Arabidopsis thaliana: one gene and its partner. The protein of the gene in region 1 interacts with the protein of each later gene in a biochemical or structural test. Each region holds a gene or a part of one and is shown on either strand. Other genes may lie near its edges.

The links. The genes of interacting proteins can lie anywhere in the genome.
Region 2: the proteins of CAM9 (region 1) and APRR2 form a complex in vitro, tested with the Arabidopsis thaliana proteins (one study listed by BioGRID).

The regions. Positions count from the first base shown.
Region 1 is NC_003074.8:19,267,417-19,271,383, reverse strand, and holds CAM9 (calmodulin 9), read left to right. Parts: upstream 1-1,725; 5' UTR 1,726-2,069; coding exon 2,070-2,145; intron 2,146-2,238; coding exon 2,239-2,399; intron 2,400-2,489; coding exon 2,490-2,567; intron 2,568-3,065; coding exon 3,066-3,206; 3' UTR 3,207-3,433; downstream 3,434-3,967. UniProt on the Arabidopsis thaliana protein: Potential calcium sensor.
Region 2 is NC_003075.7:10,002,346-10,009,445, reverse strand, and holds APRR2 (CheY-like two-component responsive regulator family protein), read left to right. Parts: upstream 1-1,826; 5' UTR 1,827-2,053; exon of another isoform or gene 2,054-2,292; intron 2,293-2,670; 5' UTR 2,671-2,763; coding exon 2,764-2,911; intron 2,912-3,393; coding exon 3,394-3,543; intron 3,544-3,639; coding exon 3,640-3,686; intron 3,687-3,767; coding exon 3,768-3,845; intron 3,846-3,930; coding exon 3,931-4,401; intron 4,402-4,484; coding exon 4,485-4,625; intron 4,626-4,709; coding exon 4,710-4,964; intron 4,965-5,172; coding exon 5,173-5,238; intron 5,239-5,347; coding exon 5,348-5,422; coding exon of another isoform or gene 5,423-5,455; exon of another isoform or gene 5,456-5,531; coding exon 5,532-5,708; 3' UTR 5,709-6,600; downstream 6,601-7,100.

The DNA.
Region 1 (3,967 bases):
TTGTTTGACCAGTGATGTTAATTGGACCATATGTGGATACTGTAACGTTAAGGATTATGAAAATCAAGATATAGATATATGTATTTTTCAAGTATACGATATACCAAATTAGTTACGACAAAATGCGAATGAGTTGGTAGTAATGAGTAAACCTCAAAATACTGTTTTTTTTTTGTCAACAAACTTATGTTATTATACTTGGATGACTTAAATAAGCTAAACCGAAAAACATTGTTTAACCTCAAAATACTTATTTAATTAGTTGGTAGCATCGTTACATATTATAATTACGACTACGAGTTAGATTCTCAAATAATATTCCCAAATGGATATATTTACATCGATTGATGCATGCTTATTTGTAGTGATCGTCCCTTATGTATATTATGTTTTTATTTTATTTTTTGAACATAGTATAATATTGGTGGGAGAAGACAAAAATAAGGGAGCTCTGCCATCTAATACGGGAATCAAGATATCTGTTTTACATCAAACAAAGACTAGTGTGATGAAATGAAAGTTAAGTTAACAACAATAAAAAACAAAATTAGCTGAAAATGTAATCAAATGAGAGATCCGAATCCGATCTCCGCTAAGTAAAGCGTAGTGGGAGCGTAAATTCGCGTGAGTCTGATTCTGAATCGTATCATACATACCAAATCAAACATTAACGTTTATGATCTTACTTACCCATATCTTATTTCTTAATTTGTTTGGTTGTTTGTAAATGAGAAATACACTATGATAAGAGAAGAAGATCTAAATGAGGCATAGATCTCTAGATACCAAAACAGATAACGCCACCAACTAACATCCAATTAAGGATATATAACACGGCATCTCCCTCTTTAGTAAGCTTACGACCAAAGTAGTGTGACTAGTGCGGAACATTTTTGCAGTTAATACTACTTAGCCTCAATTCTTAATTATGACCGTATGGGACAGGGTAGGTAGGCACAAAGCGGATATTGTTTTTAATATATTTGCATCGAATTTGGTTTGTTGGATCGATAATCTTTTAATATGTATCCGCTTTTGAACTAGTCTATTCTCCGATTGTAGAATGAAACATCTATCCGAAATTCTAATTTGTAGTATTAGTGATTTGTTTTGTTTTTAACAGTATTTTAATATTTGTTTAAATTTGTAAACTTATGGTTATCCAGACTTTTTGAATCATTCAAAAGTGGAAAACAGATCGAATGGAAGTATAGAACACTACAATATATTTTCATATTTTTCTTAGCCGTAAGCCACTAATATTGGATGGACATAAACATAAGAGACCCCACAATATTTATCAGATTAAGCCTTTATTCACATTACAATGTTTCGTTCTCAACTTCTCATCATAACGTGAATAAAAGTAGGAGTTAGAATTAGAACACAACATCTCTAACAAATCTCTTATCTGCATTGCTTTGGAGAGACATGTTTGTACAAGAAGAAAAATGTTTATGGTCAGTCCGTTTTTTTCATATTGATTACCTTTTAAATCCCATTTGGTATTAAAAAAAACCCACTTCTAAGATATGTTTCGCTTTTTATGGTAACAAGACATATAACTTTTCAAAGTTACTGAATGGAATTCTTGACAGAAGTTGTTAGGACACTAAATAATGGAAAATCAAAATCAAGGGTTACATTAGAGACACGCGTACATCAATTATTTCTTAAAATGCAACTTGGTGTACGACTTTTAATTCTTGAGTCCTCAAACCCGAGCATTACTCCACCCTTTCTTTTCGCAATAATCAAGATCCTAATTTAATTCCCTATAAGTATTTTTTCTAATAACTATGAAAATAAAGAAAAATAAGCGTTGAAGTCATAAGTTTGAACAAAGACGCGTGACCTGGAATCGTGCTCAAGAAAAAATATCACAACTAATGAAAACGCAAGGTCATGAGTATTGACCTTGACCGGGCAAGAGCCTAGAGCCAAGAGGTGATGTGTACTTAAATGTGATAGATGCTCCCTTCTTCTTCTCTCATCACTAACAAATTAAGAGAAGCTGATCATCAGATTGAATCAAAGACAGACTTTGACTTTTCTTTGTGATCGAAGATATGGCGGATGCTTTCACAGATGAACAGATCCAAGAGTTTTACGAAGCCTTCTGTCTCATAGACAAAGATTCCGATGGTCTGCTTTGTTCTCTCTCTTTCTTGTTCGATTTGATACACAAATTTATTCAGAATCGATCGGTTTGATGATGTTATGATGCATGTGAAACAGGGTTCATCACGAAGGAGAAGCTAACGAAAGTGATGAAGTCGATGGGGAAGAATCCAAAGGCGGAACAACTGCAACAGATGATGAGCGATGTTGACATCTTTGGCAACGGTGGCATCACTTTTGATGATTTCTTGTATATTATGGCTCAAAACACTTCTCAGGTAAAATATATATACACACTTAAAACCGTTTAGTTATAGTAAAGATTGATAATTGTAGAGAAAAGTTAATAATGAAAAAATTGGTTGTAGGAATCAGCATCGGATGAGTTAATTGAGGTATTCAGAGTGTTCGACAGAGACGGAGATGGTCTCATATCTCAACTTGAGGTAAATAAATTGTCTAACTATTTACCAAATAGTACATTGTCCTGACATGGAAACAATAAAAAACGAGTTACATACATATATAATAAGATTAAGTGATCATGTAGATGGATATAACGAAAGAAGAGAAATTACTAAATGTTACTTTTTTGAAGACCTTGTTATTATTATCTTTATAATCTACTATCATTCACTCATTACAACACAAATTTTTGTCGCCATAAGAAACTCCATTGCTCATATGGTCTTGTTTTTTTTTTCTCAAACCGACACGGCGACAACACAACAATCGAGAGACACATAGTCACATACTACTTGAAAAATACTTCGTTATCTGAATTAAAAAGATTTATATTCAAAAATAATGCAAAAAAGATTGGTCATTTAACTTGGTCAAATGGTTATTAGCTTACTTTTATAATATAAGCCATTCTCTTAACTCTTAAGTCTTAACTATAGTTTATTTAGCCATTTCTCCTAATTTCTATAAACGAAATGCAGTTGGGAGAAGGAATGAAGGACATGGGGATGAAGATAACAGCAGAAGAAGCGGAGCATATGGTCCGAGAAGCCGACCTTGATGGCGATGGTTTTCTTTCTTTCCACGAATTCTCTAAAATGATGATTGCTGCCTCTTATTAGCATTTTGTGAAATGCCATGATTTAAGAGTTTGTTTTTGCACAATTACAACTATATTTCAATATGTTACTATATTTTCCCAACATATAATTAAAGTGTGTGTTACTGAATCAATGATTTTTTTCGGTCGATAAAAAACTATAATATTTTTCCTATCCAAAATTCGAACCAAACCAAACCAAACCAAAAGTATTGTTCTGTTTTAAACATATGTTTTTTAAACCGGAAAATCCAAACCGAACTAAACCGAGAGTAATTATCTGACTCGGTCACTCGACGGTAGCGTGCCACAATTGAACTGGTGGTCGATCCTTAACTTCCATCTTCAATCCTTGCAAAACCCTAATGAAGAAGCAGTCTGAAGAACCAAAAATCAGTGGTTTTTTAATAAGTAAATGGTGAGAAAATCTGTTGAACTGTCGAATTTGTTTATAACCTATCAGCTTTGCTATAAATTGTTTGTTCCAAATTCCAATTCAAGTCCCCATCATTGAAGGTTAAGTAGCTTTGCTTTTTTGTCTGCCGACGGTTGTTGTAGAAATTTATGATGTTCTTGATGCTTGTCACTTTCACTCATATTGAGATCTGTCTCTCGATTCATGTTTCTTCATCACAGTGGACACAAAATGACCTAGAAGCTGAGATAGTATATTTACATTGAGTAGAGCAATTTAGTACTTGCAATATTCGTTTTAGTAGTGTCTAAAAAAGATAAGGCTTTGGTTGAACTCCATTCTAAAACCCTTACGACTGATTGAGCAAG
Region 2 (7,100 bases), on another chromosome or scaffold:
GTCCGGGCTAATTTAGTCGGGTCATGTAGGTTTCGTTTATTCAGTTCATTTAGTTTTCAAGTATTTGTAACCTGCCTTTCGTCAACACATCCAAGTATCCAATATAATCTATTAGATGACCAAAAAAAACAAAAAAAGGAAACTTGTAATTTACAAAGCATAAACATTATTTGTTGATGTGAAATCTCTAGTTTTGAGATTTACTTCTACTCCAATCTTGAGTCTTTAATGTCATTATTTTACTCCAATTTTGATGTTCAATTTCTTGAGAAAAAAAAACGTGTATTATGTATTATTGGAGAATTTTTTACCGAATATCTCTTTAGTATCGTAAAAGAAAAATGTTTATCCTTGCATACATAACATATAATTTGCTCATACGGTTTTTATAAGTAATGAAGCTTTTTATTTTCACCCCCAAAGAACAAACATCTGATCATCTCCAATTTTGACCTCAAAAGAATACGATGAAGTTTGAATAATTATGTTAAAAGGAAAATAAAATAAAAGGATGGTCACGGAGGAACGAACAAGCGAAAGCAATGATCATTCCAATGAGTAAAAAATGACCATCTACTAACGAAAGTTTTCCATTATATTATGTTTTTGCCTTTTTTCAAAATAATCACATTGGTGAACTTTTTGTAAGAAAATTTATACTATTAAAATTGAGTAAGAATAATGACATTAATGACTACCAATTCATAACTTTACTCTGTTTTAAAATAATAATCACAATTGGATATGGTCAAACTAAAGTTTTCCATTTGCCGTTACAAGAAATGCTATATAAGTTTCGTTTGGTTGTTGAATATACCTCATTATGAATTTAGGACAATCAATGCTATTTGTTTCATCTGTAATTAATTATATCTAACAATCAATTAATGACAATAGAAAAGAATAATGTGTTTACACTAATTCTGTATTCACTAATCTAGATTTTTGCGCAATTTGAATTTTAAAGTTTAGTGTAAGGTTTTTTTTTTTTGGGTGCACACTGAATATAGTTTAGCCTAAGTAATACTAGATATATAGTAGTAAAAGGAAATAGGTTTTAATTAAATTAAGAAGTTTGGTTAAATTCAACTGTTGCTTTGAAACCACACACACATGTCATCATAAAAGTTGGGCAACGAGTTTGAAAGATGGAACCTCTGCAAAATAAAGTTTTTCTTTCCCTACCTTATGCATATATAATTATTTTCCACAAACATAGTGTACCATCAATAAAAATACATATATGATCTATATTTTGGCATAAAGTTTTCCATTATTTTCTTGTGATAATGATTATGGTAAAGATTTTTAGTGCAGATTAATTTTTTGGTTATTAGATTATTTGTTCTTTAAAATGCAGAAACATTGTTGAAACTTAGAACCAAATGAAAGCTGAATATTGCTTGTTTTTTTTTTGTTTTTTTTTTCACAATATTGCTTGTTTTAGTTTGTTATGTTTTCATTTACCATTCATTTAGTAGAATATATTCATTAGTTAATAAAAAAGCTTTTAAAAGAGTTTTCTTATCATGTTAGTTCGGTTTACTTCGCACCGTTTTGATTGGTACAAATGGGTATAGTTCTATACCGGACAATAAATTTTGTTATATTTTTGTAAAATTATTGGTCTACATTTAATAAAACTAGGCTAATTTTGATATAATGACATATTAAGGGATTTAGATTTTTTTTTTTGGTAAGGTTTAGATTTTTTCTTGTATTGTTATAGGAAATTAATCCTATATATTGATTAATAAAGACAAAAATAATAATTAATCCTTATCTCTTTTTTCCTCTAACCTCAGTTAACCTTTATCTTAGTAAGACTTTTTATTCTCTTTATCTCTGTGCATAACCCAATGACAAGAACAACACTAGTCACCAACTTATTATAACTCTTCATCCATTTTCTCTCTCTCAAAGTCACCCCCCAAATTTTTTTATTTTTTTTTTTAACTTTGAATGTGACTCAGGATAGAGAGAGGGCGAGACAGATAAAGAGAGCTTGAGGAAGGATTTAAGCAGATCTGCAAGAAACACTCTCTCAGGTAAGGTGAGAACTCTAAAATATGAATTTACTCATTTGACTTCTGAATTGTGAAAGTTTGTTTGTTTGGTTTTAAATTTCCAAAGCTTTTCTTTTGATCAATTACATGTTCATTGCATGTGATGTGAGCATGATCTCTTATCTGGATATAAGATCTTCTCCTTCTTCTGCTTATGGAAAGAAAAAAACATCAGTTTTATCGAAAGTGCAACTTATGATTTGATCACAATTCTTTTTCTCTCTGGGTATATATCTCTCTCTCAATTTCCCTAAATTCTAGGGATTTGCCTTTCTCCTTCATTAGTTGTCATAAGCCTATGTTTTAGTATTTGTTAAAGGTCATTAGTCTGTGTTGTTAAGTTAACTAATCACTGCATGCACGAGTTAAACAACACTAAACTAATAATATATTCACTCTTAAATGATTCAAAAGCTTTGTTAGATTTCATGGCATGGTGGTCCACTCTTTATAAATAACAAAATCAAGTTCCTCATGAATTATTCTTATCTCATCAATAATACACACACCTTTTGAATATTTACTTTTCTTGTATCTTTATTCTGTCTAATTTTTTTGTTTATTCTATTCATTTCCCCTTTTTTTATTAATAAAATCTAGCCAGTGTTTACTTTTTTTCCGTAGAATCAAACCGGCGGCGACAGTGACGGCGGCGAAAAGCGGCGGTGTTGGCCGCAAAAACGATGCAAAACCAGCTATGGTCATTACCGCTAACGATTTATCAAAATGGGAAAATTTTCCTAAAGGACTTAAGGTTCTTCTTCTCCTCAACGGCTGTGACAGCGACGGAGATGGCTCCTCAGCCGCCGAGACTCGATCAGAGCTCGAATCAATGGACTATATCGGTAAGCCACTAATTTTCCTCTGTTTCTTACTTTAAAGGTTATTTAATCAGTGGTTATGCATAAATATTTAATCATAAGTTATGTGAGTGAGACTATACTAGTTTAATATTAGAGTTGCTTTAGCTCTTACATGTCCCGTGACAATTCTAAATTGTATCGCCTTCTATTATATTTGCATAAATACACACAGACATACACAGGTATAGATTGGTCAATAGCCTATGAATAGAATTATACCATTATTGTGTATATATATAGGGGGAAAAATAATATTAATATGTAAAATGCAACGCTTTTAGTTGATACGTACATAAGTAGTAAAAGCTTGTGCAGTTATGTTTTGGACTTTTGTTAGTTTATATTTATGAACCAGGATCCAAATTATCTCGAAACTGTTTATGGATTTCTGTGTGTTTTGACTATCAAACACATAATGTTAAGATTATAGATTCAATTTTTGCTTTTTTGGAACTTTCTTGCAGTTACTACATTCACCGATGAAACTGAAGCACTCTCTGCGGTTGTCAAGAACCCGGAGAGCTTCCACATTGCCATCGTCGAGGTGAATATGAGCGCTGAGAGTGAGAGTTTCAAGTTTCTTGAGGCTGCCAAAGACGTTCTTCCTACTATAAGTTTGTGAACCTTTTACAAGTACCCTTTTTATTTTTTCACAAATCTTTACAATACGAAAAGATTGTTAAAATGTGGATTCTTTTATGTCTTTACAGTGATTTCAACCGATCATTGCATCACTACTACAATGAAATGCATAGCGGTAAGTGATTGCGACTTGCATTTGCGTAGATGTATAAGAATGTTGGTTATGTGATGATGAGAATTGATAAGTGTTTTTCAGCTTGGTGCAGTTGAGTTCCTACAAAAACCGCTCTCACCGGAGAAATTAAAGAACATTTGGCAGCATGTTGTTCATAAGGTTTAGTTAGTTTTTTCGCGTCTTTAATTCCTCGGTAATATAATCATAATCTAAGAAAGTTGTTGTTACATTTTTATGTTGCTAGGCATTCAATGATGGTGGAAGTAATGTTTCGATATCACTTAAGCCAGTGAAAGAATCCGTTGTCTCGATGCTTCATCTTGAGACCGACATGACAATCGAGGAGAAAGATCCAGCGCCATCAACACCGCAATTGAAACAAGATTCACGGTTACTAGACGGTGATTGCCAAGAGAACATAAATTTCTCGATGGAAAATGTAAATTCCTCGACCGAGAAAGATAACATGGAAGATCATCAAGACATCGGTGAATCTAAATCAGTCGACACTACAAACCGCAAATTAGATGACGACAAAGTGGTTGTCAAAGAAGAGAGAGGAGACAGTGAAAAAGAAGAAGAAGGTGAAACCGGAGATCTCATAAGCGAGAAGACAGATTCAGTTGATATTCATAAGAAAGAAGATGAGACTAAACCGATTAATAAATCATCCGGGATCAAGAACGTGTCTGGTAACAAAACTAGTCGAAAGAAGGTAACGTTGTGTTTCTCTTGACGCTCCTCAGTGCTAAAAGATTCAAGCTCTCGTTATCATTGTTACTACTTTCTTTTCTACAGGTGGATTGGACACCAGAGCTGCACAAGAAGTTTGTGCAAGCAGTTGAGCAACTCGGCGTTGATCAAGCGATACCCTCGCGGATTCTTGAGTTGATGAAAGTAGGCACCTTAACAAGACACAATGTAGCTAGTCACCTTCAGGTAATTAGATCCCAAGGGTCGAATGTTTCGCAAGATTTCTGAATTCTTGTAAAATGTTACACAACTTTTGAAAATTTTGACCAGAAATTTCGGCAGCATAGGAAGAATATTCTTCCAAAGGATGATCATAACCATAGATGGATACAATCTAGAGAGAACCATAGACCAAATCAACGTAATTATAACGTTTTTCAACAGCAACACCGTCCCGTGATGGCTTATCCCGTTTGGGGTCTTCCCGGTGTTTATCCGCCAGGAGCGATTCCACCTTTGTGGCCACCGCCGCTGCAGTCCATTGGTCAACCACCTCCGTGGCATTGGAAACCACCTTATCCAACGGTAACATCTTTTTATAAGTCAAAGATTCTAGCTAAAATAAAATAAATCACATTTATCTGTACAAGAAAATGTCATTACATATCTACAAATTAAACGATAAAATGAACTCATACCTATACATTTTAGCTAATGCATTCTCTATATAGACATATTTTGTGACATTATGATAGAACATCCATAGCTAAATCGTCCATATATGATGTTTCAGGTGAGCGGTAATGCATGGGGTTGTCCGGTTGGACCGCCTGTGACCGGATCATATATTACTCCTTCGGTGAATATTTTCACAATCTATAATATTAAACTTTATATTTATGGAAATTTAATCATTACAAAAATCTTATTTTTTAATTTTTAAAGAGATTTTTGTTTTTTTGTTGCAGAATACTACCGCCGGCGGATTTCAATATCCCAACGGAGCTGAAACCGGCTTCAAAATAATGCCGGCGAGTCAGCCGGTTAGTGTCAACAATTCTCTATTTTCTTTTTAAGACATAAAAATTCCTAATTAATTAATAAAAAATAAAATTTGCCGGGTCGGGTTGCGATGTAAATGGGTCGGGTCAGGACGAGGAAATGTTAGATCAAGTGGTTAAAGAAGCGATAAGCAAACCGTGGCTGCCGCTACCGCTCGGGCTAAAACCGCCGTCCGCGGAGAGCGTTTTGGCTGAGCTAACGCGTCAAGGCATCTCAGCCGTCCCTTCTTCTTCTTGTCTAATCAACGGCTCTCATCGTCTCCGCTGACGTGTCCATGATGAAACAGAACCCGCAGATATGATGACGTCATGCGTGGCGTACTTGTCCGTGTCTGACGATCCGAAGCGGGAACTGATTCGGATCCTGAGAGTTGTTTTTTAATTGTTGTTTTTAATTTTTTGTTGTCATAAAAACATTTGTCTCTATTGGTATTATTAAAGAAGATCGGACGGTGGAGATAGAGGCAACGATGTTAGTCTGAGGACCACAAGTGGACTCTGCGGCTGTAAGTAGATCTCGGACACGGGATTTTGACAAGTCGGAATCTGACGTGTGTGCGTACTCGCTTTTGTGGGTTGTCGAGAATTTAATAGTTGACACTGTTTTAGGTGGATATGAGATATGATGATGATAATAATAAAAAGGTACAACTCAAAGATTCCGTGATGACATTTTGTTCTTTTTTTCTATAAATTCCAAGATACACACAACAACAACAACAACAAATATACATCTTTTCTTTTCTTTTTTTGCCAAGAACAAATATACACTTATTCACATCGGACATAAAATGTTTTACATTACTTAGATGTGTTTGGATTTCTATTTTTAACTTATGTGATACATACTGATTGCGTTATACAAAGCACAAGAAAGTGCTAACAAAATTATCGAAGTAGACAAATAGAGAGACTACGTTTTATATTGGGCCTAAAAAGAAGATGTTCAGAATTGGGCCTCGTTGATGACTTTATCGCAGCATAATGTCCAGGGGATAACATTTTCAGAAGATATCAAGAGAAAAGAGTAATGAGTATGACAATATAAGTGGAAATTTATTAAAATTCGGTAAAATGTATACCAAAAAGAAAAATCAGAAGATCCTACGAGCTAGAAAACAAACAAATATTGCAAATATAATATCTGAAACCAAGTGGATGTATAATTGTAAAATCGCTTGCAATTTTATATATATATATATATATATATATATATATATATATATATATATATATATGATCATGTGAACTTGGAGTCTTATTAGACACGTTATTTTATTCGGTGGAACTCAACTAGAGACTAACTATTTTTGTAGAGTTTACGAACTTATAACATGCTTATTATACCAAATCACATGATTCAGTTTATCTGAATAGGCTGTTTTTACTCTAACCAAATTGTCAACCAAAATAAATTTAAACAAGTTTTCGGAACAGAAGATTCCCCTCAAAACATACAAGTCATATTATTTTTCTAGGACATTTTTTTACCAATGCATACATAATTTTTGGTGTGTAATGCACGAATTCGTAATCGTATTTTTTCTTTTGTCGACACTTCTCTGTATATGTCTGGTTAGCTACAAATGCACTAAACATTTTCACATAATTGATAAAAGAAGTGCATTGTGGACCAAGAAAAAGAAGCTCAATGGTGGAG